7 linked regions of the Sus scrofa genome follow. The protein of the gene in region 4 interacts with the protein of the main gene of each other region in a pairwise test. Links are inferred from orthologs where the notes say so. Each region holds a gene or a part of one and is shown on either strand. Other genes may lie near its edges. The genes, in order: GAS7, C6H1orf50, EIF2B1, WDYHV1, CAPN3, FTH1 and RABAC1.

Region 1 (3,500 bases), on a different chromosome or scaffold from region 4:
ACAAGCTCCTGACCCCACGTCTGTCCTGTCTAGATGCGGAGTCAGCCCCATACACGCAGAGATGCGTTCACAGTAACAGCATCGCCGAGGCCGGCAGACACTCTGAAACCAAGAGCCCCACAAAACCCAGCGAGAGGAAGGGTGACCCACATCCGGATACAACCAGACCCTTGCACACCCATCAACCACCTATGGCGTCCGATGTGCGTGAAGGGATGGCTAAATAAATTCATGGCTCTGAGATGGTTAAAAATCTGCGTTCAGAACAGAGAGTATAATATGATGGGATATACGTCAATTAAAACATTTAGAAACATTACAAAACATTAAAACACTAGGAGCTGCAGATGGTGATTATGTAAGATTTTCTATTCTTATGGGCTGATTTAAATTTTTTTTTTTTTTGGCCAGGCAGCAATACAGTTTTTGTAATATCGTTTTATTTTTTTAGAGTTTAATAAATGAATTTAAATGCGTCTCTCCCCGTCCTTGGGTTCCCTTCCTACTGCCAACAAGTGCAGTGTGCCTTCTGTTTCTGGATCCAATACAACTTTATCAGATCTTTATGTGAAATGCTCTACTGATATGACATTGCTTTGTTATGACATTTTTAGACCACGTGATTTCAACATGTCCAGAAGGTGGCTGCTTCATCCTATAATGAACTAATTGTACCTGGGTCACCGGAAGGTGGCGTGAGAGGGGTTCAGAGATCCTCTAATCCACACTCTGATCCCACAGCGCACGTCACGTTTTAACCCCAGAAAGCAAAACGCACTGTCCTTGCACGTAGTGGAATGGTTTTTCTTTTTAAGAAATATTTAACAATTTTCTTTTTTTTTAACTGTTTCTGACTTTCCTCCCCCGTCCTTGTGCATTAGCTAATTTTTACCTCTAGGTGGAAGCAGAAACTGACTCACTGGGCGAATCTTGTGGCGAGAATCTAAATGTAGTTATTTCGTTAAACAAAATGCTGGCCTCTGTCCTGGGGCAGAAGCCCATCGCCCTGGGAGAACCTCTGGAGTGTGGCTCCCCAGGGAGGTGGGATCACTTGGGACGGAGGGTGGGGTTTGCACTTCTCCTTGGAGCTCCATGCAGGGCTAGGACCCCAGGTCCAGGTGCCTGGCAGACTGTCCACCTCCTGGACCAGAGAAGAGGGCTTGGCCAGAAGGACCCTCTATGGGGGTGTATGGACATAGCCTGGTCTGCTTCTTGCTCCACAGCCTCATCCTGTGGGATGCGCCCTCCTGGGCACCCCCCTCCAGCCTCTCCCCTCGTGCTCCTGTGACCAGGCAAAGCTGGCGAGGGGCAGTGGGCACGGTGTCGCACTCACCCGCCTGCGTGGACTTCCTCCGTGCCTTCTTGATGTCCTCCTCCGTCTTGTTGCTCAGCTTGATCTCCAGCTGCTGGGTCTTCATCTCCAGGTCTCTCTGCCGCTCCGTGAGTGCCTTCCGGGCCTGGGGTCCAAGGACATGGAACTGTTCATGGGCTCAGAGCCGGGAGGGCCCCATGGGGCCCGGGGCCTGGCTCCCCCTTTTCCAGGGAAGAGTCCCTTCTTTTCCCTGCTTTTGTGGATGAGGTCCCAGTGGCTCTGACAGGCTAAGCAGCTAGACCAGCATCACCCAGGCAGCTAGGGACCACGCAGAGGCTGCAAAGCATCCTCTCATCTCTGTCTCTTGGTCCAGAGCAGGCTCAGAGCATGTTTTCATTGGCATGTGTACAGGTGGTCCTAAAATTACAGCTTTTCTGCGAAAGCATGGGCCTTGTGGTGGCTGTGGCCGGCAGCGTCTGGGGTGCCCGTAGCAGTGTTGACCCCCGTCTCCTGCATCCCCTATCTCCTGACCCCGGAGTCAGCCTCTGGGGAGACCTCTCCCTGCTCCATGACTGGCATCCGCAGCTCCCAAGGTCAGACCACCTCCGCATCTGGGAAGGGGGTGACTCAGTCAGAAGGGAATCTGCCAGGTGAGACCCAAAGGGGACACGTGTGGGCTGGCAGTGCCTCCGGGCTCCGAGACCAAAAATCTGGATGCACCTCGTCTCACCTGTGGGATGGAGTCTCACCCACCATGGCAGGTGCAGCCCTGCCTGTTCCCACTGGGGATCTGAGCACCACGGGGAAGTGGCCAACCTGCCCTAAGGCTGGGGTTCTCATACGGACCTTCACCAGATCCTGCCCGGCGGGGTGGTGGGGACAAAGGCCCCTGCCTTGGCACAGGGATCCCCTTCTGGCTCCCCGCCCCCTCCCTCCAGCAGGACCCCTCCCACCCGGCCGGGCATCTGGGACCCTCACCTTCTCCACCGCGGCGTAGCGGCTGGTCAGCTGCTTGCGGAGGTCTGCGATGTGGTGGTCGCACTTCTTCATGTCTTTCTTGAAGTTCTCTCGGAAGTTCATCAGCGGCTTTTCCACCTCACTGTGAAGCTGTTGATCGGGGAGACACACTCAGGACCCTGGGGTATCAGCTGCAAGTGGAGGGAGGGGGCTCCCCCCACCCCACGGGGGAGGATGGGGAAGGTTAGAGACAAGTGGCTGCTCATCGCATCGCGGTCGAGGAAGTCGCCTCAGCTGGCCAGGCCCCAGCGTTCGTCTCGATGGATGGGTTAGCATCTGGAGCCCTCCGAGTCCCTGTGGGCACCCCCTACCTGCTCTAAGCTCCCCAAGCTCCCTCCAGGGCTTTGCTCACATTTCAGACTCTCTTACTTTCCAGACTGGGAGCTTCTTGCGCGGAAACCAAGCCACCATCTCTGTGTCCCTAAGCATGTAGCATAGCGACTGTTGCATGGATGACATTTAATTGGGTGATCTCAGGTTGGTTCTACTTATTAAACACCTACTATGTGCCAGGTGCTGAGACCACAGATGATCTGGATGAGGTCCGGAGCTCGAGGCAGTGGTGCTGGGAGCTCCCGGGGCCCCTCTCCTGAGCTGCGCCGGCTGGTCCACATGGAGGCTGATGAACCCCCGTGCCATGTGAGAAGACCAGCCTCGCACCCGAGGGCCAGGGGAGGGAGTTTATACTCTGAGAGGCGCTGGGTGGCATTGGGGTTTTAAGCTTTTTCCTTCTCTTTTATTCCTTCCCTCTTTTCCACTCTGCTCTCTTTGGAAGGAGAACATTTACTTAAAAATTGGGGGGGGGGTGAACATGAGATGCAGCTGACAAGAGAACAGATACACGTGGATCTGCTGTGGTCAGAGTCACAGCTAGGAGGCCCCAGCCTCAGCCTCTCAGAGCCCCACCTACCCAGACCTGCCCTCCCAAGACCTCCTGACACAGCCTCCTAGCCCCTCCCCGCACTGGCCTCCTATGGCCCCGACTCGGCCTTCTAGGGTCCCACGGCCTCCACCTGTCCCCCTGGTAGCAGAGCTGAACTTCCATGGACGGGTGACATCCCAGCTCTGGGAGGCTGTGATTTCTCTCCTCTCCCTCCCCAGGCTACATTATCTTTTCCCTGGGCCTGGAGGAGAGAGGAGTTCCTCGTCCTAAACCACCGATCACACATGA
Region 2 (4,131 bases), on a different chromosome or scaffold from region 4:
GACCTGTACCGTGGAAGTGAGTGCTCCTTTCCTACTTCCCAGAGTGCTACCTGCTTCACTCCAGACTCCAACCACACTCAAAGTTTTCAGTCCTCTGGAGCTTCCGGTGTGGCTCAGTGGGTTGGGAACCGGATTAGTATCCAGGAGAATGCGGTTTGATCCCTGGCCTCGCTCAGTGGATTGAGGAGCCGGCGTTGCTGCAAGCTGCAGCACAGGTCGCAGATGTGGCTTGGATCTGGCGTTGCTGCGATAGTGACATGGGCCCGCAGCTGCAGCTCTGATCCCACCCCCAGCCCAGGAATTCCTATGTGCAGGTGCGGCCCTAAAAGCGGGGTGGAGGGGAGTTCTCAGTCCTCCAACACGCCCTGCTTTCTCTTGCTTCCAAATAATATGGAATAGGCCCTCTCCTCCATCCATTTCCCCTCTTGCTCTTTTGCTTAACCCTACTTATTCCTCCGGTCTCTACTTATTTTCTCATGTTTAAACATTTCTGAAATTGGGTGTGGGTCTTACCATGAAAATCCAAAGATACTTGTGGTTTGCCACTTAGCAGCTGCTATACAGGAACCTAACTACATATTAATGTAATATGTGTAATCTGACCACTACATCAGTTGACTTATTTATATCACAATTATACTTCATCTCATATTTGCATTCCTAATTGTTACTTAAAATGCATTTTTTAAAGATTGCACTATGGGGGTGGCACAGTGGATTAAGAACCTGACTGCAGCGGCTCAGATCACTGCAGAGGTGCCAGTTTGATCCCTGCCCGGCACAGTGGGTTAAGGGATCTGGTATTGGTGCAGCTGTGGCACAGGTCACAGCTGCAGCTCAGATTCAATCCCTGATTCAGGAACTTCCACATGCCACCGGGGCAGCCATTAAAAAAAAAGAAAAGAAAAGAAAAGACTGCACGATAATGCAGACTTGAAACAATGCTACTATCAGTCATGTGCTAGGAAACCAAACTGAAGGCATTGGAAATTGCTTAAAATAAATAACTTTCAAAGCTACAGGAGAATGATGTGACCAATTCATGTACTGGAAAGGATTACCACATCAGAAAGCTGTCAAAAACTCCCCAGGTTACTTTCATGAAACGCTGATTAACTTCCAGTGGTATACAATTAAGTTAAACAAAAGAAGAAGTTGAACTAATAAATACTAAGAGAATTTGCTGGTTAGTTGAGGAAGCTTAAGGTAAGAGTCAGGTATAATCCAGTGTTACAAGTGAACAGAAACAACTAAGCCAAGTCAGGCGTTTGTCTGTTCCACCAACATATACTTAGCAGCTGCTGGGTGTCAGACACCATGCTAGGCCCTGGATGCACCGGCAAACATGAGAAAAAGGTCCCTGCCTTCGTTAAGGTTACAGTCTGATGCAACTATCCTTTAGAATAGGAAGCAAGTTGCATCTGTAATTTTAAATTTTCTAGTGAACATGTTAAAAGTAAAAATTAAGTAAAATCAATCCTAATAATATATTTACCCAATATATCAAAAAACATCATTTCATCATGTAATCAATATAAAAATTGTTAGAGAGATATTTTACATTTCATATGAAGTGTATATTTCATATTCACAGCATCTATCAATTTGAATGCTAAATTTTCATTGGAAAAACTTGATCTGTATTGAGACCATAAAATTTACAGTTGAGTTGATTCGCATACTCAAATTGTTCCAAATACATTTAAAAGTTTCCAAGAATTGAATCAATAACCAGGTTTTCTGTTTGTCTGTTTAGGGTGGCACCCACAGCATATGGAGATTCCCAGGCTAGGGGTCAAATCTGAGCTGTAGCTGCTGGCCTACGCCAGGGCCACAGCAAAGCGGGATCTGAACCTCGGCTGCAACCTACACCTCAGCTCAGGGCAATGCGGGATCCTTAATCCACTGAGCAAGGCCAGGGATTGAACCTGCACCCTCATGGTTCCTAGTCGGATTCGTTAACCACTGAGCCACAACGGGAACTCCGGTGCAAGGCTTTATAGGCCATGAAATATGTATGTGCATTTTGTTCCAAAGACAAGGAAGCACCTTATGGCCAATGAAAGTCGGTGGCAGGCATCCCTCCCAACAAGTGATCAGATGAAACGGACACACAGATGTTCTCCATAAAAGACCCAGATGAAATCGTGAGTATCGGGGTGCTCTGCAAACCTTCCCATCGAGGGAGATAACGGGCCCTCAAGACGCCGCGGAAGGGGTCTTCGGTCTCAGGAGGTCAGAGTTCGAGTCAGGCCACCGACTCGCAATGACCATCAGTTTTCCCCGCGTGCAGAACGGAGATAAGGACAAATGCTACCCCACAGTTTGGCTTGGGGGGGCCAAGCGAGCCCGAAGATGGTCCTTGACGTCCCCGGCCGCGCCTCCTCACCTTCTGCACCTGCTCCGCGAGCGCCACGAGGTCTAAGGGGTCCCCGGCCCGGTGGGTGTGGTAAGGGCTCACCAGGGCCAGGCCGCCGGGGGTCGGGCTGAGCTCCACCAGGGCTCCTGCGACACACACCCAGGAACACAGGCCGTGAGCGCCCGCCCTCGGCCTCCCGCGGGGCCGGGCAGACTCGCTGCTCCGGGCGGGCTTCTTTGCCCCTTCCGACTCCCGCCCCGCCTACCTCCCCGACCTGCCGCCGACTGAACGCCTCGGTTTTCCGTGACCCCCGGAGTCGGCCGGGGCGTCGCAGCGTCTTCCATGGCAGCGCCAGGTCCCAGCCTCCGGCCCCGGCGGCGCAGGGCTGCGGAGCCTGCGCAGAAAGGCCCGTGGGCGGAGCTCCCGCGTCCCGGCCCCTGGGCGTCACGGCCGCCGGGCGCTCGGGGGCGGGGCTCCTGCGGACTCACCGAGGCCCGCAGAGGGGCAGGGTCCAGGCTCGGGGAAGGCGAAGGCCGCGGTGCAAGCCTCCGGGGTGTGAGCTGCAGGGTGGGGAGGCGGGGCTTCCCGCGGGGCGGGGCCTCCCGCGGGGCGGGGCCTCCCGCGGGGCGGGGCGGGGCCTCCCGCGGGGCGGGGCGGGGCGGGGCTTCCCGGGGGTGGGACTCCGGCCTCCCCGGAGGGTGACCCGCGGTCCCGTTAGGTCCGAGGCCGCAATGGCGGCACGCGCGTTGAGGCTGCTGACCATGTTGTGGGTTGTCGCCGCCGCTGCCTCCCGAGCAGAGGCCGAATCCGAGGCGGGATGGGACATGACGGCGCCGGATCTGCTCTTCGCGGAGGGCACCGCGGCCTATGCGCGCGGGGACTGGGCCGGGGTGGTGCTGAGCATGGAGCGGGCGCTGCGCTCGCGGGCCGCCCTGCGCGCCCTCCGCCTGCGCTGCCGCACCCAGTGTGCCGCCGACCTCCCGTGGGAGCTGGAGCCGGACTCTCCCCCAAGCCTGGCGCAGGCCTCGGGCGCCGCCGCCCTGCGGGACCTGCGCTTCTTCGGGGGCTTGCTGCGCCGCGCGGCTTGTCTGCGGCGCTGCCTGGGGCCGTCGGCGGCGCACTCGCTCAGCGAGGAGCTGGAGTTGGAGTTCCGCAAGCGGAGCCCGTACAACTACCTGCAGGTCGCCTACTTCAAGGTGCAGACCCGGCCGGGCCCGGGGAGGCCGGGGTCCTTCCGGGCGTGGCGGGCCAGGGAGAATGGGGGGTGGGGGGAAGTGTCCGCGGAGAGGGACCGTGGCCTCCTGGCCGGGAAGCTCTCCTAGGACCCTGGGAGAGCTGGGACCCTCGCAGGAGACCAGCCTCGGCCGGTCCGCGTAGGCTGATGGTGACCCCAAAGGTCCACCCTGAGGTGAAGGCACAGACCGACCAAAACTTGGCCTTGGGTTCCCTAACAGGCCCTGAGAGGGAACTACAGCGGCAGCTTGGGTCTCTGATCCTGATTTCATTGTAAGTTCCCGAGTGAGAAGCGAGGACCTTTCTACAACATCTTCCTTCCGGTTCGCTTTTCAGTGATGCTTTTCCTGCTGCCCGAGTGCGGAGCTTTCTTTCAGGACCTGAGGTTGCCACGTCGCCAGTAGGGGCTGTCAGGCCCCTCCCTGTGGGGGACCCTCTGGCCGGTTTGTCAGGTTTCCAAAGAAAATTAGCATTTTTAGGAATTCCGGCCTGCAGGGTTTTAAGTCCGAGTGTATGCGTGGATGTGGAGCGCTTCTGAT
Region 3 (3,992 bases), on a different chromosome or scaffold from region 4:
CAGCTGGGTTCTTAACCCATTGTGCCAGAGGGAACTTAGGAATTCCCTTTCTAGTGGGAGAGGTGGAAAGTAAATAAGCATTCAGTGAAAGGAACAAGTTAATTACGATTGAAAGGAGCAGAAATGATGGGAAAAAAAGGCAGAATCATGAAAAAAGTGGAGCTACTTTAGACAGAGTAAACAGGGATGGCCTCTTGGAGTGGGCCATTTAAACAGAGACCTGGGTAAGAAAGGGTCCAGCCACATAGAGATCCAGTGGGAAAAGTCTCAGATGCAAACTATAACAAATTGAAGGCCCAGAGATGGGAACAAACGTAGTATGAGAAACAAAGAGGCCAGAGGGAAGCATAATTCAGTAAGGGACAGTATGGAAGGAAATTAAATAGCAGCATCAGGAGAGGCCTGCGAGGTGGTGCAGGTAAGGCTTAGGTGTTTAGATGTCATAGATACTGGATGCTGTCTTAGAGATATGCATCTCTAGGCCAGCCCTTAATTTTTTTTTTATTTGTTTTTGGGTTTCTCTGGCTGCTGCTCTCGGCATATGGAAGTTCCTGGGCCAGGGATCACATCTGTGCCCCAGCAGTGACCCCAGCCACTTTGGTGACAATACCAGATCCTTAATCTGCTAGGCTACCACAGCACTCCTGGGCCAGCCCTTTACATTAAAGAAGGCTCTACTATTATTATTATTTTGCTTATACCCAGATACTCACATTTAGGATGCGTGAATTAGTAGTAATCACAATGATGACATGAAAACCAGAATTTATACTGGAACATTCTCTATAGCAACTGCACAGAATGTGTCACAAGACAGAAGCTCAATAAACACTAGTAAAGTTGAACTACTGCTATAATTTAAGCTTCATAGTAACTTGGTATAAAATGGTCATTCTTGATTCAGAACAAATTTCATTTGTGAAATGCCCCCCATTTGATGATAGTTAGAGAGCTCTCTTCATGTTAAGAGGACTGAAATGAAGGGAGAAGCTGAGCATATGGCACCTTATGCAGGCATCTTATATACATCTCTCGCTTTACACTTCTAATGGTGATGAGCAGACTTTCCTCACACCCAGAGTGATTGAGGATGACACTCTTTACCTTTATCTCTCTTCAAGTACTCCAGCAAAGTCCGGATGGCAGCTACTGCTGAGGCCATATCAGGATCTTCTTTCATTTGAGACTTAAAGTATTCAATTAACTCTGCGAAGGGATAAAACAGTGGCTTATCAAGGTGATTTATTGGGATGGACGACAAGAGTTTATCAATGACTGCTGAGCTTAAAAAACAAGCTAATTTAAAAATTATTTTCTGGAGTTCCTGTTGTGGCCCAGTGGGTTAAGGATCTGACGTTGTCTCTGTGAAAATGTGGGTTTGATCCCAGGCCTCCCTCAGTGGGTTACAGACCTGGTGTTGCTGCAAGCTTTGGCTGTAAAAAGAAAAAAAATATAAATGTATATATTTTCTTTGCAGGGTGTTTGGCTTCAGGGGCACATCAATTTTGATAGGACTAGAGATGACATCACTTTACTATTGGCAAGCTTTCTCAGTCATTTTGAAAAAGCTATCCATGTACAATGGCATAAAATTTAAGCTCCACCAAATGATAGTGAAAGGTCATTCTCCCCCTTAATCTTTCTTTTTTTTTGGATGTGCCAGCAGCATGTGGAAATTCCTAGTCCAGGGATCCAACCCCGGCCACAGCAGTGACCGGAGCTGCTGTAGCAACACCAGTTCCTAAACCCACTGCACTTCAAGGGAATTCCCTTTTTCTACTTTTTTTTTTTTTTTTTTTTTTTGTCTTTTCTAGGGCCGCACCTTCCGCATATGGAGGTTCCCAGGTTATGGGTCTAATCCGAGCTGTAGCTGCCGGCCTATGTCACAGCCACAGCAACGCGGGATCGGAGCCTCCTCTGCGACCTACACCACAGCTCACCGGCAACGCAGGATGCTTAACCCACTAAGCGAGGCCAGGGATCGAACCCGCAACCTCATGGTTCCCAGTTGGATTCGTTAACCACTGAGCCACGACGGGAACTCCTCTCCCTTATTCTTGATCCCAAGTGCAAAAAGAATCCCAGAACCAACCACCTTACCGATTTCTTCTGCACCCCTCCAGATAGTGTATGCCAAGTAAAGCCTATTCGCTTACATACATATGTATGTGCATGTGTATGCAAAGGTCCACCTTTCTCTAATTTTTTCACATGAAAGGTACTATATATTAGTTATTTTTATTCACTTAATAAAACACTTTCATAACCACACTAGATGAACACAGAAACGCCTTTTGATTCTAGTACCAGATCCAACAGGGCAGGGAGTCTAACTCATACTTCACATATGAGGAAATCAAGACTTCGAAGACCTGCACACTTCGTCCGAAGTCTCACTTTTTCGGAAGAGGGCACTGGAAGCCTGGGAGAGGGGGTGTCCAGGGATGCCCCCAGGACCTATTCCCTGGATACAGGAGCAGCGAGAGGGTTCTAGTTGTGACCAGAAGAACTACATCCAGCCAAAGAGCCAGAGCTCGAAAAGTGACCACTCTCGGAACTCAGTCTGGGTGTGCGAGGTGAAGGGATCCCTGCGCGTCTCCGCTTTGGCCCAGCAGGCCCGTCGCGTTCCGATTTACCCTTGTCATCCATGGTGCCCTCCGGACCGCGGAGCGCAAAGGACCGAGAACCACACGCGATGTCTTGCTGTGTCGTGCGACCGCGCGGACCCCAAGTCACAGAAACTGACAGTGCGCGGTGCAGCGCCGCACTCCACTTCCGGCGCCATGAGGGCGGGGCCGTGGATAAGGGCTTGCTGCCTGAGCCAAGACTCTTTTTACGTCACTCGGTGGCGCCGGAAGTTGGGGCAAGCGGAATCTGGGAGGTTCGCCTGGCAGCAGCTGCCGATACGCTGAGGGACACTGGCCGCCATGGTCTCAGACGGTGAGGGCTGCGCTGGCGGGACCCGGACCCCTGGGCTGGGCAGAGTTTGCCCGGCCAGCATCAACCAAATGGAGTTTATCTTAGGGGCTGGGTGGAACCTGTTTGATCTTTAGAGAAGTAGCGAATGCATTCATTCATTTAGTAAATATTTTTGGAGCGCCTCTTGTATTCCAGGCGTTTCTTTATGCTCTGGGGTCGTAGCAGTTGTCCATGCATCCTTCAAGTGTTTTAATCAGTATAACAATCTTGTGAGGGAGGCCGACCTGGTGTGGTCTCTGTCTACAAATAAGGAGGTGGAGACCCAAAGAAAGAAATTCACAGGGACATTCCATGTGTATAGCTACACATCTCTCCTGACAGGTAACAATTTCTTTTTTTTCCAGGCTTGATAGTAGCAAGGAACGTATGGCCCTGAGAATTGTGGGATGGGGCTTGATGGGAACTAAGGCCAAAGATTTATGGTCAGAGGAATGAGGGCCTGTGAGAGTTATTAAGTGCTGCTTTGTGCTAGGCACTTTGTTGTGTGATTTACACATTCCTCGTTAAGGAGTCCAGGGTTTGGAGGGCAGAGTTGGGAAGAGAGATCAGAAACACAGCTAACTGTAAAATGAGCTAGTGAGTACTGTCATTAGAAGAGGGGAATGCTGTGGGCGGTCAGAAGTAGGCAGGGGGGCATTGAAAAGCCACGGTCTTTAAGAGTCCAGCGGATGTGTCTTCAGAGCTGGGTATTGGCTCTGCTCCTTGCTGGAAGGCCGTGTGATTTAGATCAAGTTACTTTCTTTTGCAAAATAGAAGTTTCATTGAGTCTAAGAAGATATTGATTATGAAATGTGCTTTTATTTTATTTTATATACCACTAAGAGAGAAAATAGAATGTGGTCAGTCATGATAGTAAGATACCATGCTGATTTCAGCAACTGTCAAATGTTAAAAAAAAAAAAAGGTTGTATATCTTATAATTGATGGAAGATAGCAATAAGTCCCTCGTTGTATTGTTGTCAGCATGAGATGGAGTGATAGGATTACATGTGCTGGAACCTCATTAGAGGGGC
Region 4 (3,500 bases):
GGAGAGTGAGGAGAGATGACAAATAAATGTAATATTCTGGGTTAGATTCTAAACCAAAAAAAAAGAAATTAGTGGGAAAAATTACAAAACTTATATAAGGTCTGTAAGTTAAGAGCACTGTGGCAATATTTTTGTATCAACTGTATTATTTTTTTGGTTTAGATAATTACACTATGGTTTTCTCAGATTCCCCTGGGATCTGACCAAAAGGTATAGAAAAACTGCAGTGTTTTATTTTTTAACCAATTCTCTAGTAGGCTAAAAATAAAGTTATTCAAAAATAAAAAATTAAATGAAAACCTGTAAAAATAAGCAAACTGCCAGTTTACTGGAGGCAACTGCCAATTTATAGGAATTCAGAGAACACAAAAGAGATACAATCACCAAAACCCACACCATTTTCTCCCAGACTCAGTTTCTCCAACATATAAATTACCAAAAAAAAAAAAAAAAAAGAGTTGGACTACGAATCTCTACATATCAAAAAGACTCTAAAGGGAGTTCCCGTCCTGGCGCAGTGAAAACGAATCCAACTATGAACCATGAGGTTCGGGTTCGATCCATGGCCTTGCTCAATGGGTTATGGATCCGGTGTTGCCATGAGCTGTGGTGTAGGTCGCAGATACAGCTTGGATCCCATGCTGCTGTGGCTGTGGCATAGGCCGGCAGCGACAGCTCCAATTTGATCCCTAGCCTGGGAACCTCCATATGCCACAGGTACAGCTCTAAAAAAGCAAAAAATGAAAAATAAAATAAATCCTGGAGTTCCCTGGTGGCTCAGCAGGTTAAGGATCCGGCATTGTCACTGCTGTGGCTTGGGTGGCCACTGTAACACAGGTTTGATCCCTGGCTCAGGAACTTGCACATGCAACCAAAAAAAACAAAAAAATTAAGTTGAGGGGGCCAGGGCAGCTAGATCTGGGGACAGTGTGAGAGAGGCGGGAACTACACAGAGAGCTGTCTGGAGACCTGCAGAGGCGCCTCAGCCCTTTACCCCCAAGTCTTTGGCTAAGGACTGATCTCACAAGTCCAGGAAAGAAGCAGCAGAAAGCAGTCTAACAACACCCCTCCAGCCCTCAGGCATTTGGGAGAATCCACAGAAAGGTCACTCGAGAGTGGGGAAGCTAAATCAGCAGCAGCCAAAGGCCACCTCGAACCCGCAGGAAACGGCCTACAAGCCAGCCTTGAAAGGACCCGCCTGACCCTCAGAAATTTAAGTGGGGCCAGAACCAAATCCAAGACTGTTTCTTAAAGTAACCCAAGATCTAGGAGCTGACAATGTGAAATGCACAAAATCCAGCAGCCAACCAAATATTAGGAGTCATACAAAGAAAACAGGAAAATACAACTCAAAACCAGGAGAGAAATCAGCAGACAAGGACCAGCGATTATAAATAGGCTCCATTTACTCAAAAGAGTAGTTAAACATGAGCACGACAAAGACCAAAAGGGGAGAGAGTAAATCAGCCCCAAATGGAGCATCTAGAAATGAAAAAACAAACACGTAAAATGGAAAAAAAAAAATGCACCGCAAAAGGATTTAAGATCAATGAATTTACAAGCAAAATAATTACTGAAAATGAAGCACATACAGAAAAAGTCTGAAAAAGATGAACAGAACATCACTGACCTAAGAGGAAAATGACACACTATCTAAACAACATATTTGAGGTGAAGTGTGATGTTTTCTTGAACCATTTTTTCTTTCCTAACCGTTTTTTCTTAAATAAAACCCTAACTAGCTGAAAGTAATTCCCCCTTAACCTAATTTCAAATATACTGCTTTGATAAAGACAGGGCTTGCAGTAATGCATGTCCCATACAAGAGAACACACAGTAAATTACGACATGAGAAACCAGTGTGTTTACCCCACACTTTGGAGCAGATTCCTTTGAGCTCCAATCTCAAGTTCAGGAGGCCTCTGATGAGCTAGCTACACGAGGGTGGGGGCAACTGACACCCGATCACAAGGTGCTACCGGACTTGGAGGCCTTCCAGCTGGGGAAGCAGGCTTGACCTGCCTGTGCGCCAGTCTGTATGGCAGGCAAGTGTGGAAAACAAAGCCTGCCTCTTGTGGTGAAGATTAAACCAAAATAAGATGCAAAGGGGCTGGCACCGAAGCCTCTCCCAAAACAGCACCTACTGGGTAGTAGCCATCAAACCCAAAGAAATGACTCACAGAGGACAGGGGCTGAGAAGGTGTTGTTTCCTGAAGGCCTACTACGCACCAAACTCTGCCTTAGAGCTGCCACAGGCCCTGTCAGCCTGGTGAGTGAGACTGAAGGCAAGATCCCTGAGGCCCCTTCCTGACCTCAGCTGTCCCAATTCTAACCCTGAGGTTGGGAACCCGGTTGGTGAGGCAAAATCAATTCCAATATAAATTTTTAAAATTATGAGAGCTTTTCACAGAGAGCCTCAAAAATCAGAGTTTGAATCCTCTTTCAGTCTTCACTCCCCTCAAACATGCCAAATATTTTTTTTACTCTCTTCACTGCTGAATTCCGAACACCACTGTCCTATTTTTCCGGCATCCTGTACAGCTTACAGAACAGTTTGACTCACACAGCCTCATCCATGTGAGAGGATGATTTCACCAATTAAAGGCAACGCTACCAATTACTTCCCATCATAAATAATGTTTCCAGCTTCAGGTGAGTGCCAAGCAACAGAAAGAGGTGAAGAACCCTTTATCCGCTTAAATCTGGAAGAATTACTATTTGGACTGATGCCTAAAAGCACATAAATGAGATGAGTGGGACGATAAAACCTGCTAGCTCTCACCTCCTTCTTAGGCAGCTTTTATTACAGAGCCAGTGAAATGACATTTCACACATTCCAAAGACGCGCTGGGATTTCCTCCCCATAACATGAAACCCTCCCGTGGCAAGATGCTTGTAGTCCCGCTGTTAAATGACTCGAACACGCAGACCTTCCGAAGCCCAATGTCCCAGCAATGGTGCCAGGGTTTGGGCCCTAACACCGTTCCTCTCCCATGAGTTCTGGTGCCCTCCAGTCCTGCTCTCCGTGCCTCGATTCCTAAATCCGATGAATACACAGAACGACACTCCCTCTTGCCTCCTTAGCTCTCCAGAGGTCTTACCCAAAGAACAATGTGCTTCCTGACCCTGGTTAAGGGAACGCGCTCATCTGCACAGTGACGGGAACCCCCTGGGGGCGGCCGTGGCTCACCTCCAGTCTCGATGCAGGGATAGGACGGAGGAGGTTCTCTCCAGTTCCCGCTGGAATCCTTCATGTGAGATCGGTCAGAAGCAAAGTTCTTCAAATACGAATCTGCACGGATCACTCGGAATTTCCTACACACAAACCAACATTCATTTTATATCACAGCTGAAATCCTAACTCAGCTCTTACATAGACCGTGTTCTATGACATGAACAAAACCACGCAGGCCTTTTTATACACTCTGTGATACAAAAACATACACATGCTGCTTTAATACCGGTTAAAGACAGCGTGAGAAATGATCAGCTGAAAACCC
Region 5 (3,500 bases), on a different chromosome or scaffold from region 4:
TTTGCTCCCATTGGGATGTCTGGCCTTCGCTGGGTCACACTGGAGACCAAAACCTCACCAGGCTTCTGTGCACAGTTGGGCAAGTTGTTCCCTATTCACAGGGATGGGTAGACAGGGACAGTCATCTGCCGTGGTCCACGAGGCAGATGGGAGGAAGGGGCATCTTCTTCTGATTGATCCATCTAGAGGGGACGTTTTCTGTAGCTCCGCAGTCAGCAGGGTGTTATTTCCCATTCATGCAAAGACACCTAATACACTAGCAAAGCCCTACATTACATGCCCCACCTCCTACCCCAAAGCTCTTCATGGCCAGATGTTCCTTGAGAAAATCATTTCTTAGAAAATGGCAAGGTGATGGCCCAGTCTGACTTCTGTGAACTCAGGTTCTGCCCCATCACCCTGCCTTTCCACAGGGAGCTTCTGATCAGTCTCCTTGACCAGGGCCAAGCAGGACATCCCCAGTATGGGATTCTCTCCCCACTCCCACCCCAGCCCTCAGGGCAAGACAGCAAACCCCTTTCCAGAAAGGACCCAGAGTGAGAGAACTTTTTCTCTTTGCTCAAGGCCCTGTTCAAGGGTGAAAAGGTGAAGCTTGTGCGGCTGCGGAACCCCTGGGGCCAGGTGGAGTGGAATGGCTCCTGGAGTGACAGGTAGGTGAGGAGACCCCACAGGGAGGGAACAATGGAGCCTGGGGCAAGGCTGGGTTAGGTACCAATCCACAAGAGTACTACAAATGCTTGGTCTAAAATTATCCTTAACACCAATGATCCACAGAGGAGAAGTGGGGCTGTCGGCTCCGGAAAAGGGCAGTAAGATCAGAGCCAGGGGGATTCTGGGATCCGGAGAGCTCACATGGCCACTGGCTGAAAAAGAAAGATTCTAGAAATGGGCTGAGCAAATCCCTGCTTCCTTGGTGCACAGTGTGTGCCAGGCCCCATGCTACTGTTTGGGGACTTAGAAATGAATGCAGAGACTTAGACCCTGACTTGTAGGCTTTCAGATCCAATGGGAAAGACAAACACTAATAATCACTGATATAAATGCTAAGGTAAGTGTCACAAAGAGGGAGCCCCTCCCCTGGCTTGGATAGGAAGGCAGAAAAAGGGTACCTGGAGAGGGTGGCATTTGACCTAAGCTCTCTGCTCGGGAAGGCCCTCGGTGCCCCATCAGTGGGCCACGCCTCTGGCCCGAGTCACCCACAGGGATCCTCGCTGTGTCCTCCAGTCTCAGAAAGTGGTATCCGGCCTTAACTCACTTTCTGCCAACACCTCTGCTGCAGGGACTGCTGACAAGTGGGGCCCAGCCTCGATCACTCAGAGGGACTCCCTTTCCCCACTGTGTCCCTCCTGCCGGTCTTAGGACTCGCCATTCCCCTCAGCATTCCCTGCTTCCAAGCACTTCCTCAATCCCTTCCCTCTCCAGGGACAACCCATTTAGTTTCACTCTCCTCCACGTGCCTGAAACACAAATGTGCTTTATTTATGTCCTCCTCCTTCGGGAGAAAGAATGTATAAAGCTGCCCAACCTTTAAAAACACAAAACAGGAGAGTTTTGTGGGGTGGCAGGGTGGAAGGAGAAGTTGACATGTTTGGGCTTTCTCTCCGTTACTCAGACAGTCACTTTGTAGATGACGAGGACTGTTCTAAAAGTTTTTCATGAGTGATTTTATTTCTTGCTCATCACAGCCCTGTGCATAGGTGATATAATCATTCCCCTTTTGCAGCTAAGACAGAAGCAGAGCAAAGGTGAAGCGACTTGCCCAAAGTTACAACTAATATTATTACATTGAAACCCCAGTTTATCTACTTCTAGAGCCCAGAGTATAACTTTTAAAGTGTTTACGAATGGTTAAAGAATCAGCTCGGAGTTCCCGTCGTGGCTCAGCAGAATCAAAACCGACTAGGAACCATGAGGTTTCAGGTTCGATCCCTGGCCTCCTTCAGTGGATTAAGAATCTGGCATTGCCATGGGCTGTGGTGTAGGTTGCAGACACGGCTCAGATCTGATGTTGCTGTGGCTGTGGTGTAGGCTGGCAATTGTAGCTCCGATTGGATCCCTAGCCTGGAAACTTTCATATGCCACGGGTACGGCCCTAAAAAGAAAAAAAAAAAAAAAAAGTATCAGCTAGAAGAGTCCCCGCTATAGCACAACAGGATCAGTGGTGCCTTGAGAATACTGGAATACAGGTTTGATCCCTGGGCTGGCACAGTGGGTTAAGGATCCAACATTGCCATAGCTGCAGTGTTGGTTGCAACTGTGGCTTGGATCTGCTCCCTGGCCCAGGAACACTGTATGCCATTGGGTGGCAAAAAAAGGAAAAAAAAAAAAAAAAAGAACCAGCTAGAGAAGAGTCAAGCCCTTATAAACCATTTAAGGAGCTTGATCTTAAACCTGAGGGTGGTAGGAATCAATGACTGGATCTTACACTGAGGGTATCAGATCAGATTTGCATTTTAATGGGTCACACTAGCTGAGATGAGTTATTCTCTAACCTTCTTCCTGTTTCTCTGATACCTCCTGCCCTAACCTATACCAGGCCTTCCCTTTCTTCTTCCTTCTATAACGCCTCCATTGTCCCTCTAGTTGGAAGGACTGGAGCTTTGTGGACAAAGATGAGAAGGCCCGTCTGCAGCACCAGGTCACTGAGGATGGAGAGTTCTGGTGAGTCCAAGACCCAGGAAGACCCTGAGGGGTAGGCGATTGGGTAGGGGCTGAAACCCTAAACCTCAAACCCCAGAGGCCATCAGGTTGCAGCCCTTGGGACATCTGGGCTCTGTTCATCTCCAGCCAGTGGCCCCGGAAGATTGAGGTTTTGGGAGGAGCCCGAGAGTCATGGTGATGACTGTGCCCAGGACCAGGCCAGCACGATGTGGCCCCACCCTCTGCCATGCACACTGCTTCAGCCACTTGCTCCCGGCCTTCATGGTGCCACTTTCTAAGCCCAGGAAGCTCTACTTACTGTGCTCATCCAGTGCCACCCTTACCCTCACTCAGATCATTTCTGCTTAGCCTTCGAGTCAGATTCAACTTTTCTTCAGGATCCCCTTGTCTTCCCTAGGACTGAGATGAATTTCTTTGTGATACTCATCACGTTTAAAATTGCTTGCTTAATTGTCTGTCCTTTCCCATCTGTGTCTCTTTTCCCTGTGCCTGGCACAATGCCTAGGACCCAGTGGAGGAGCACACAAGAAACATTTCAGAGAACTAAACTGCTGCCAAGCAATCCCATCAAGGACACACGAGTTTGAGTCTTTATTTCAAGAGATACATCAGAAATGACCCTAAAAAGGAAGGACAGGGCTCTCTCTAGGTCCATGACCAAGTTTCTCTGGATTATTTCATTGTGCTGTGTTAGCCTTGGAGTCTTACCTTTCCCAGCTTCCCATATGGGTCTCTCTTTCCTTCCAACTTCTCAGGATGTCTTATGATGATTTCATCTACCATTTCACAAAGCTGGAGATCTGCAACCTCACAGCTGATGCCCTGGAGTCCGACAAGCT
Region 6 (3,993 bases), on a different chromosome or scaffold from region 4:
GGTCACCCCGTGTCTCCGGGAGGCCAGCTTAGGGCTTAGCTCTCACTGCTCCCCAGGGTGTGCTTGTCAAAGAGATACTCGGCCATGCCATACTCGGGGGCCCCCATCCTGTGCAAGTTGGTAATGTGGTCACCCAATTCTTTGATGGCTTTCACCTGCTCATCCAGGTAATGCGTCTCAATGAAGTCACACAACTGGAAAAGACAACGGGGAAGAGAGTTACTGGCGAGCCTTCCCAGGCCCCGAGGTAAATGACTTCCTCCTCCTCCTCCCAGGTTGCCTCAATACTCACGTGGGGGTCATTTTTGTCAGTGGCCAGTTTGTGCAGTTCCAGCAGGGACTGATTCACGTTTTTTTCCAAGTGCAGCGCACATTCCATGGCAGTCAGCCCATTCTCCCAGTCATCGCGCTCCGGTTTCTGAACGAGAAGGAGCCAAGTCAATGCACCTGCAGCCTCTACCTTTAAACCCAAGTCAGCAAGCACCTAACGTGTAAGCACTGTGCTTGGCGAAAGGAATATCCAAGCTTCCCCGACAACAGTTTCTATTTTACTATCCTTGCCCGTTACCATCTGCCCACTTTAGACGATAGGCCCACAACAGCACAAAAGCCACAAGCCACAAGCCCAACGTATCTGCGTCTTGATAAGAGCAACTGCTCAGGTCTGTGCCTTCTGCCACCTGAGGAGCGCCAGACACATCAGGCACGACAACCCTGGAATCTTTTGTTCACCTTGATATCCTGAAGGAAGATTCGGCCACCTCGTTGGTTCTGCAGCTTCATCAGTTTCTCAGCATGTTCCCTCTCCTCATGAGATTGATGAAGAAAGTATTTGGCAAAGTTCTTCAAAGCCACATCATCGCGGTCAAAATAGTATGACTGAAAAGTGAAAACAGGAGTCTGTGAGCCTAGGCTTCCTTTCTCAAAGCCCAGCAAGAAGGGGTCTGGGTCTAAGGAGATCAGAGCAGGCTGCGTTGCTGCATCGAACTAAACAGTCATTAGTTCTCACTCCTAAGGGCAAAAATGAAAAATGTTCACAAGGAGCATTTAGAATATCACAGGACTTGCCACCACCATGGAACATCCTCAGGATCTGTGTTAGAGCAAAGTTCTTTTTTCTTTTTTGGCCGCCTCTGGTCTGAGGAAGTTCCCGGGCCAGAGATCAGATGGGAGCCACAGCTGTGACCCTCATGAGAGTTGTGGCAGTGCTGGATCCCTAAAACCACTGTGCCAGGCCAGGGATGGAACCTAAGTCCCAACGCTCCAGACACACCGCCAACCCCATCGCGCCACAGCAGGAACTCCAAAGTTAAATTCTTACAGCCAGTGTCACATCTGGTCGAAGAGAGGAAAGTGGAGTATTTACTCCGCACTATTAGTGCTTCCTCCTTCTCCCTCCTTGATTAATCCATGTTAAAACATGAACTTGCCAGCTTACAGCCAGACCGATGCATTTCTAAAAGTACCCCACTAGGGAAGTAGACGGCTGTGGGCAACAATGTATATAAAGGCATAACAGTAGAAAGCAAAACTGGGTTCTTTTAGACCCTTGCTGGGTGTTCCTGAAATGGAAGGGCAGTCATAGAAATCCAGGCCAGTTCCAAACCCATCTGGTACCTGCCTATTCTTGGATGGTTTACGTAATGGTCAGACAATTCTACAACTCCTACCACACCGCCTAAAACCAGGAATTTGGAAAACTGACCCCTCTATGGAAAAAATGCCGGCCCTGTAACTGTGGATGGACTTTATCCAAGAACGAAGGGTTCGATTAGGCCCCAACCTTTAGACAAAAAGAATAAAGGAGGAGGTAGTCAGGCGCAAGGACGGGTGACTAAGACAACTGTGGCGGAAGGAGAGATTTCTAGAGATGTGCTTCAATTCAAGTGGGACTTGGCGATAAGCAGAGCAAACGGGTGGAGACGGCTGTTCGGGTGGTCAGCCCACTGGAGATAAAGCACTTCACACCAGCCCCCAGGGCTGCTATTCGACACCATTACCCAGCAGGCTCCGCCGTATTCTGGGGGATGGGAGCAGGACCTCTTCGCCTCCGCCCAGGATCACGTGATCGGATGCAGAGGACGGAATGGAAATGCGAAAATCCACCTTCCTAACTGCAGGATGGTACTGGCAGCAAGCGCGGCAAGGAAAAAAAAGGGGGAGGGGGGAGGGGGGTGGGCGGGCAGAGGCAGTCGGCCTACAAAGGGGCACTCCCAGGGGTCAGTCGGAAAGGGCCGACTCCTCGGAATTTCTGCGAAGTCCTGGGGGACCCGGAGCAGCCTCCATTTTCCAGAACCGCGCAGAGGCGGGAGGCGGGAGGCCCCGCCCGCTAGCCACACCCCGCCCCGCCGCCTCCGAGGCCGAGCCCGCCCCCCGCCGGCCAAGCCTGCGCTTACCATGGACAGGTAGACGTAGGAGGCATAGAGCTCCAGGTTGATCTGGCGGTTGATGGCCGCCTCCGAGTCCTGGTGGTAGTTCTGGCGCACCTGCGAGGAGCACGAGGTCGTCATGGCGGGAGGCTGAGGAGCGGTGGTGGCGGCAGCGGCGCGGGAGCGGTGGCGGTGGCCTTGGGGCGGTCCGAGGGCGCTGTGAAGAGGTGGCGAGGGCTGGCTCTGAGCGGCCGGCCGGGGCGGGTGACGAGCGCCGGGTTCCGTCCAAGCACTGTTGAAGCAGGAAACCGCAGCGACTCTCCGCGAAGACTGTGGCGCAGGTAGCGCTGGCCCGGCTCTTATATCGGCATCGGCCGTCCGCCCCGCCGCGGCCAATCACGCCGCCTGCCCGCCGCGCGGAGCCCCGCCCCTTCCGGTGGGTGCGGGCGGGGGTGGGGGGAGGCGCACTGGGATGGTGGGGGAGGGGAGGGAAGGGGTGGGGTGGCGAAGCCTGGGAGTCTTGGAACCCCGTCCCGCGCAGACGCCTTGAGGTGCGTTTCGTGGGATGAGAGAGACGACCTGAGCAAGGGCAGGAAGTCCAGCTCGGGGCTGTGACTCTATGACTCTCGGGGCTCTGACAGCCTGGGTTTTGCAACCGACGGGAAACCTTCCCTGGGGCGTCGAGGCTCTTGCAAGAGCCCAAGCGGGCACCCCGAGACTTATGGCCAAGGTCATGTTAAAAATCAGAGCGGTAGAGCTGCAGTTGCCACACTCCGAGGTGCCTGGTAATGCAAATAGGGAACCCGGAGAGTGAACGTGGGCCCGGAGTGAGGCAGAGGTCGGGCGGGGAAAGGGCCCTCTTTCAATTCCTCAAAACCTAGGAAGGGGCCCAAAGCAGGTGGGGTCGGGCCTCCTCCAGCTCTGGTGGCCCGGTCCGGCTTTGGCCGAAAGTGTACGTGGCTCCTCGTGCAGTTGCTACAACAAAGGCTGGGCGGGTCGTGTTTCCCCGAAAGACTGCCTTCCCGAGGGAGTCGTGAGCCACCAGGGTTCTGAGAAAATCGGCCGGTAGCTTACAACTCAGAGACCAAGGGGGTTAGAAAAGGAGGAAAGAAGCTGCTTGAATCTGAAAAGGATGCTGTGAGGCCATTTTGAAATGGCCGATCAAGCCCCAGGAGCTTCAGGCTCAGGCGGTTCTACAGGGAGCCACCCCCTGGGTTGTCCTTGGAGAGAAGCTGAAGGCGCGGAACATGAAGGACAGATGCCAGAGAACGTGGAGTGGCTGGGGCACTGTGTGTGGCTTGCAGCAGTGTCCCTGGCACTGAGTGGGTGCGAATTCGTGGGTGGCAGAACTGGAGCTAGGCAGACCCAATCTGCTGCCCCCAGGGTCCACGATTCTTAATCAGGCCCTTCAACACGTGGGTAGGGGACCTACCCAAGACCCTTTTCAGGATATTCACAAATGTCCAACTGTAAGCTGTACTTCTAAAAGCTTTACAACAAAAAATTAAAGGAACTTTACTAAAATAGGAAAACAAGTTGCTGGTGGAATTACAGCGATTTCTCTTGGGTCTTTATTCATTTCAAATGTACATATGTTACTTAAGGAAAAAAAATTTTAATGGGG
Region 7 (4,164 bases), on a different chromosome or scaffold from region 4:
GACATGTCCTTGAAGACACCTCACACAGGTTCCATCTGCAGCTCCTCCCCGTCCACAGCCTCTATCTGGTGGAAGGCGGCGTGGGAGCCGATGACCACGAGGGTGGCTCCTGGGGGAAAACGGGCAGCTCAGGGCCTGCTGCCTCCCCGGCCCCCACTGCCCACCGCGCCACCGAGACCCTGTACTCACTCACCTAGGACCCAGAAGACGGCGGATCCCGCGCCAGCCAGCCAGAAGAAGGGAAAGGAGACGCCCCCGGCCAGGGCATACTGATGGGCGGGGCTCACCTCTCGGCCTGGGGGGGCAGATGGCATTGGGACAGCTGTTCCACACCTGTCCCCTCTCCCAGAGTAACCCCCAAAATGCCTTATGCCAAGGCCCTCCAAGTCCGGCCCCAGCCATTTCCCCAGCGTCCCCACCCACTGTCCCCTGAAACAGTGCACCTTCCTCAGTAATCCCCCCCACCGCCCTCCACCCTTCAACTTTACTTCTGCTAGGAAGCTCCCAGACTCTCCCTCCCCAAACTACAGCTTTCCTGCTCCAACCTGCCCTCGCATAGACCTGGGTTTTCCAACTGGCATCCCAAAGGCCCAGGCTGACACCTAGACATGTTTTTTGAGTTTGCATATTATTCCACAATAATTTTTTTGCTTTTTAGGGCCGCACCCACAGCACATGGAAGTTTCCAGGCTAGGGGTCGAATCAGATCCACAGCCACAACAACGCGAGATCCGAGACACGTCTGCAACCTACACCACAGCTCACGGCAACACCAGATCCTTAACACCCTGAGCGAGGCCAGGGGTCGAACCCGCATCCTCGTGGAACCTAGTCAGGCTTGTTAACCGCTGAGCCACGATTTGTTGATTTGCTGCTGACATACAGACAGAATGATTTCACACAGCAATACAGTCGGCCCTCTGTATCCGCAGATGGGCACCCGTGGGTCACTGTACTACATCATTGCTACATCAGCAACTTGAGCATCCTCGGATTTGGGTATCCAAAATCTGGGGGCTCCTAGAAAAGCTGAGAGATGGCTGTATAGACATCTGGCTTCTTGTGGCAGATTGGAAAGTCAGACTTGCAAACCCTGGCGGCAGCAGTGGCTGAAGACAAGTTGTGACTATGCTCTGGACGCTCCCTCTGTGCCCTGTGCTCGCCTGACATGCTCCTCCACCCAGCCCACCCTTACCAGATACATAACTGGCAGGCTTCTGATGGATTCTGTCTTAGGTCTACCTGTTTCTTTGATTCCAACTCCCCCTTATCTCCACTCCAAACCTTGAGTTTCCCTTAGTTGGGAACTCAGGCCCTCTTTCTTCCCAGTGGTGCTTGGTGCCAGTCTAGGACCACATGAGCCACAGGCCTCAGCTTCCCTCTGAGAAGTCCCAAGATTTTTCTACTCCCATCCCAGGAAGCACGAAAGGGGGAGGACAGATTTAGGCTAGAGTAAAGTCGCCACCTGGCGTCCAATGTGGGTACTTGCAGCTGATGCTTTTGGCAGATGAGGGAGAGAGAAGGAGGAGGTTTAAAAGGCCAGCGGCTAGGTGGAGTGGTTCTTGGATATCTTCTGGGTTTGGGAAACAGCAATTTGGGGGGACTGAGAGTGGATAGGAGCATCAGGTGTGGGTATGGGGAATCTACTGTAGGTCTAGGATTGGGCAGACTTGGGTTCAAAAGGACTCAGGTTTGAGGTCTAAGGCTTGGATTCAAAGAGCCAGGATCAGAGGAGTTTGGGCAGATTTCTCACCAAACAGCACAAACTTGGACTGCAACGTGCGCAGATAGAGGATGTAACAGGCGCCAAAGAAGACAGCCAGAGCTACCAGCAGCATGGGCGATGTTACCCTGGAGGAGGGCAGGGAGGCACAGTCAGGCCGCTGGGGCTGCGTCAGACACGAAGGCCCTGACCTTCTACACCTGGGGACGTCCTTAGGACCACGCAAGTCTAGGTCATGTTTGGTCCCCCTGCATCCCAGCCAGGCTGATGGAGTAGGGACCTGGTCCTCTGGGGTAAAGATCCCACAGAGCTATCCCATGGGGACAGGGCCTGGCCAGTGCAGACATGGCAGCCTGGCGGGGGCGGGGCCTGGCTGAGGGGGGCTGTTCTGGCCAGAGAGACACTCACACGCAGTACAGGATGAGGCCCAGGAACACAAACACATAGTTGCTTTGGTAGTATTCCACGTTGCGTACGAGGCGCTGGCAAAGCTCGCCCAGGTTGCGGGGACGCGAAAAACGCCGCTGGTCCACGAAGGAGCCCCAGGGGCGGATGGTAGCACGGCGCCGCTCCAGCCACTCACGGCCCGCGCCAGAGGGAATCAGTTTCGGCAGCAGGGTCCTGGGGGGTGCGGGACCAGGTCAGCGGTAGACCGGGTTGGAGCCCGGACCCCCGAGCAAGAAGGGGGCCGAGGGGAGCGGGACTCCGGGGTTCTGGGGGGCGGGGGAGATATGGTCCAGGACTCCTGGATTCCAGGGGAGGAAGGGATTGAGCCGGGGCCAGGAGTCCGGATTCCTAACTCCCCAGGGATGAGGGGCGAGAAGCCATGACTCTCGGGTCTAGGTCAGGGGGGCTAGATTAGACTTGCTTACGTGGCGCTCAGCCCTTCCGCCTCGGCATCCTTCTGCTGGTCCTTCTCGGCCGCCATGTCTGTGTTGTGAGGGGAAGAACCGCTGTAACGAGGCTGGGGCCCTCCACACCCCACGGGCCCCGCCCGAAACCGGCCTCACTCGAAGTGGCCGGAGGGGACGTGGCGCCGTTCCGGCGCCGCTGGGGGCGGTAGGTTTGTCACGGAGTATTATGGGAGTTGTAGTCCTGACGATGTCGGGGAGAGTAGGCGCCCTGGTGGCTGCATGGCTCGAGGAGCACCTTGGGAGATGTAGTCGCGTAAAGCGACGTGGGTGCCTCGGGGGCATTGTGGGAGTTGTAGTTTCAAAGGTAGGACGTGCGAGGTCAGAGAAAGTGAGCTGTCAGGAGTCAGGGTGTCGGGGGAGTGTAAAGGCAGAAGACGTCGTGTACTACCCCGAGCAGTCTCTGTACAGTGGGGACTGTGTAGGGCTGTCATTCTGACTCTAAGGATATTAAAAAAAACCGTGATTAAACACTCAGATGTTCTGATTTATCAGATCTGGGGTGAGACCCATTCACTGGCTCTTTTTTTTTTTTTGTGGCAGGCAGGGAGTGGGGTGGGTGGGGACATGCTACGTTTTCTGGCTAAGGATCGAACCCTAGCCACAGCAGCAACCCTAGCACAGCAGTGACAGTGGGGGATCCTGAGCCACCAGGGAACTCATGGACCACATTTGAATAGTGAGACTGTAGAATATTTGTAGGAATCCATTCCATCCTTCTTCAAAGGCTAGTGAGGGGGCCATGGTTGCTGAAGGGGGTTATCTAAGATGGGGAGCAAAGCTCCCCCACAACTCTGGGCTCCTAAGGATGGATGGGTTAGGATTAGGACCTCAAGGATGCCCCTGCTATGGAGAGGGTAAAGGGAAGTAGGGGAAAGTAAAGGGGTGAGTTGTTTTTTTTTTTTTTTAATCTTTTTTTATTCCAGTTTTATTGAGGGGAATGAGGGATTTTAATTTTTAATTTTTATTTATTTATTTATTGTCATTTTAGGGCCACACCCGTGGCATGTGGAGGTTCCCAGGCTAGGGGTCGAATCAGAGCTGCAGCTGCTGGCCCACACCACAGCCACAGCAAGGCGGGATCCGAGGCACATCTGTGACCTACACCACAGCTCACAGCAACGCCAGACACTTAACCCACTGAGCAAGGCCAAGGATCAAATACGCGTCCCCATGGATACTTGTTGGGTTTGTTACCACTGAGCCATGATGGGAACTCTGAGAATTTTTAAAAGACGGAGTAGTTACAACTAAAAGAACTGGATTTCTTGGGTCAGAGGTCAAAATCCAGCCTGTGTTGATTTCATCAACTCCCTGTCTTCATTGGACAGTGAAGATCATCCTGGTTCCACACTCATGGGTTAAGGTTGGGTTGAATGATCCATGTGAAGTGCTTGAAAGAGTCTTGCTATTTTATAACCACTCAATAAATGGTGATGTTGTTTTTGCCACTACATTGTCATGAATGTTATGATTATTTCTAGAGTTCAGCCTTCTCAAATATGTCTGTAACGTAGTTGCTGCTGCTGG

Evidence for each region.
Region 1: the proteins of WDYHV1 (region 4) and GAS7 interact in binary tests that used the Homo sapiens proteins (3 or more experiments, as listed by UniProt). The two-hybrid records come from large-scale screens. The link is inferred for Sus scrofa from reciprocal best matches to the Homo sapiens genes NTAQ1 and GAS7.
Region 2: the proteins of WDYHV1 (region 4) and C6H1orf50 interact in binary tests that used the Homo sapiens proteins (3 or more experiments, as listed by UniProt). The two-hybrid records come from large-scale screens. The link is inferred for Sus scrofa from reciprocal best matches to the Homo sapiens genes NTAQ1 and C1orf50.
Region 3: the proteins of WDYHV1 (region 4) and EIF2B1 interact in binary tests that used the Homo sapiens proteins (3 or more experiments, as listed by UniProt). The two-hybrid records come from large-scale screens. The link is inferred for Sus scrofa from reciprocal best matches to the Homo sapiens genes NTAQ1 and EIF2B1.
Region 5: the proteins of WDYHV1 (region 4) and CAPN3 interact in binary tests that used the Homo sapiens proteins (3 or more experiments, as listed by UniProt). The two-hybrid records come from large-scale screens. The link is inferred for Sus scrofa from reciprocal best matches to the Homo sapiens genes NTAQ1 and CAPN3.
Region 6: the proteins of WDYHV1 (region 4) and FTH1 interact in a two-hybrid assay, tested with the Homo sapiens proteins (2 studies listed by BioGRID and IntAct). The two-hybrid records come from large-scale screens. The link is inferred for Sus scrofa from reciprocal best matches to the Homo sapiens genes NTAQ1 and FTH1.
Region 7: the proteins of WDYHV1 (region 4) and RABAC1 interact in binary tests that used the Homo sapiens proteins (3 or more experiments, as listed by UniProt). The two-hybrid records come from large-scale screens. The link is inferred for Sus scrofa from reciprocal best matches to the Homo sapiens genes NTAQ1 and RABAC1.

The regions. Positions count from the first base shown.
Region 1 is NC_010454.4:54,764,742-54,768,241, forward strand, and holds part of GAS7 (growth arrest-specific protein 7), read right to left. Parts: intron 2,420-3,500; coding exon 2,291-2,419; intron 1,458-2,290; coding exon 1,334-1,457; intron 1-1,333. UniProt on the Homo sapiens protein: May play a role in promoting maturation and morphological differentiation of cerebellar neurons.
Region 2 is NC_010448.4:168,665,280-168,669,410, forward strand, and holds the start of C6H1orf50 (uncharacterized protein C1orf50 homolog), read right to left. Parts: upstream 2,801-4,131; 5' UTR 2,704-2,800; coding exon 2,625-2,703; intron 2,506-2,624; coding exon 2,390-2,505; intron 1-2,389. Other genes in the region: P3H1 (prolyl 3-hydroxylase 1), read left to right, coding at 3,091-3,555.
Region 3 is NC_010456.5:29,354,305-29,358,296, reverse strand, and holds the start of EIF2B1 (translation initiation factor eIF-2B subunit alpha), read right to left. Parts: upstream 2,801-3,992; 5' UTR 2,650-2,800; coding exon 2,637-2,649; intron 1,207-2,636; coding exon 1,105-1,206; intron 1-1,104. Other genes in the region: GTF2H3 (general transcription factor IIH subunit 3), read left to right, coding at 2,928-2,940.
Region 4 is NC_010446.5:15,981,937-15,985,436, forward strand, and holds part of WDYHV1 (protein N-terminal glutamine amidohydrolase), read right to left. Parts: intron 3,316-3,500; coding exon 3,191-3,315; intron 1-3,190. UniProt on the Homo sapiens protein: Mediates the side-chain deamidation of N-terminal glutamine residues to glutamate, an important step in N-end rule pathway of protein degradation.
Region 5 is NC_010443.5:128,971,925-128,975,424, reverse strand, and holds part of CAPN3 (calpain-3), read left to right. Parts: intron 1-564; coding exon 565-650; intron 651-2,536; exon of another isoform or gene 2,537-2,583; coding exon 2,584-2,661; intron 2,662-3,416; coding exon 3,417-3,500. UniProt on the Homo sapiens protein: Calcium-regulated non-lysosomal thiol-protease. Proteolytically cleaves CTBP1 at 'His-409'. Mediates, with UTP25, the proteasome-independent degradation of p53/TP53.
Region 6 is NC_010444.4:9,533,858-9,537,850, reverse strand, and holds the start of FTH1 (ferritin heavy chain), read right to left. Parts: upstream 2,801-3,993; 5' UTR 2,511-2,800; coding exon 2,397-2,510; intron 880-2,396; coding exon 733-879; intron 419-732; coding exon 293-418; intron 195-292; coding exon 36-194; 3' UTR 1-35. UniProt on the Homo sapiens protein: Stores iron in a soluble, non-toxic, readily available form. Important for iron homeostasis. Has ferroxidase activity. Iron is taken up in the ferrous form and deposited as ferric hydroxides after oxidation. Also plays a role in delivery of iron to cells.
Region 7 is NC_010448.4:49,932,075-49,936,238, reverse strand, and holds the start of RABAC1 (prenylated Rab acceptor protein 1), read right to left. Parts: upstream 2,801-4,164; 5' UTR 2,652-2,800; coding exon 2,596-2,651; intron 2,345-2,595; coding exon 2,132-2,344; intron 1,852-2,131; coding exon 1,754-1,851; intron 296-1,753; coding exon 194-295; intron 110-193; coding exon 21-109; 3' UTR 1-20. UniProt on the Homo sapiens protein: General Rab protein regulator required for vesicle formation from the Golgi complex. May control vesicle docking and fusion by mediating the action of Rab GTPases to the SNARE complexes.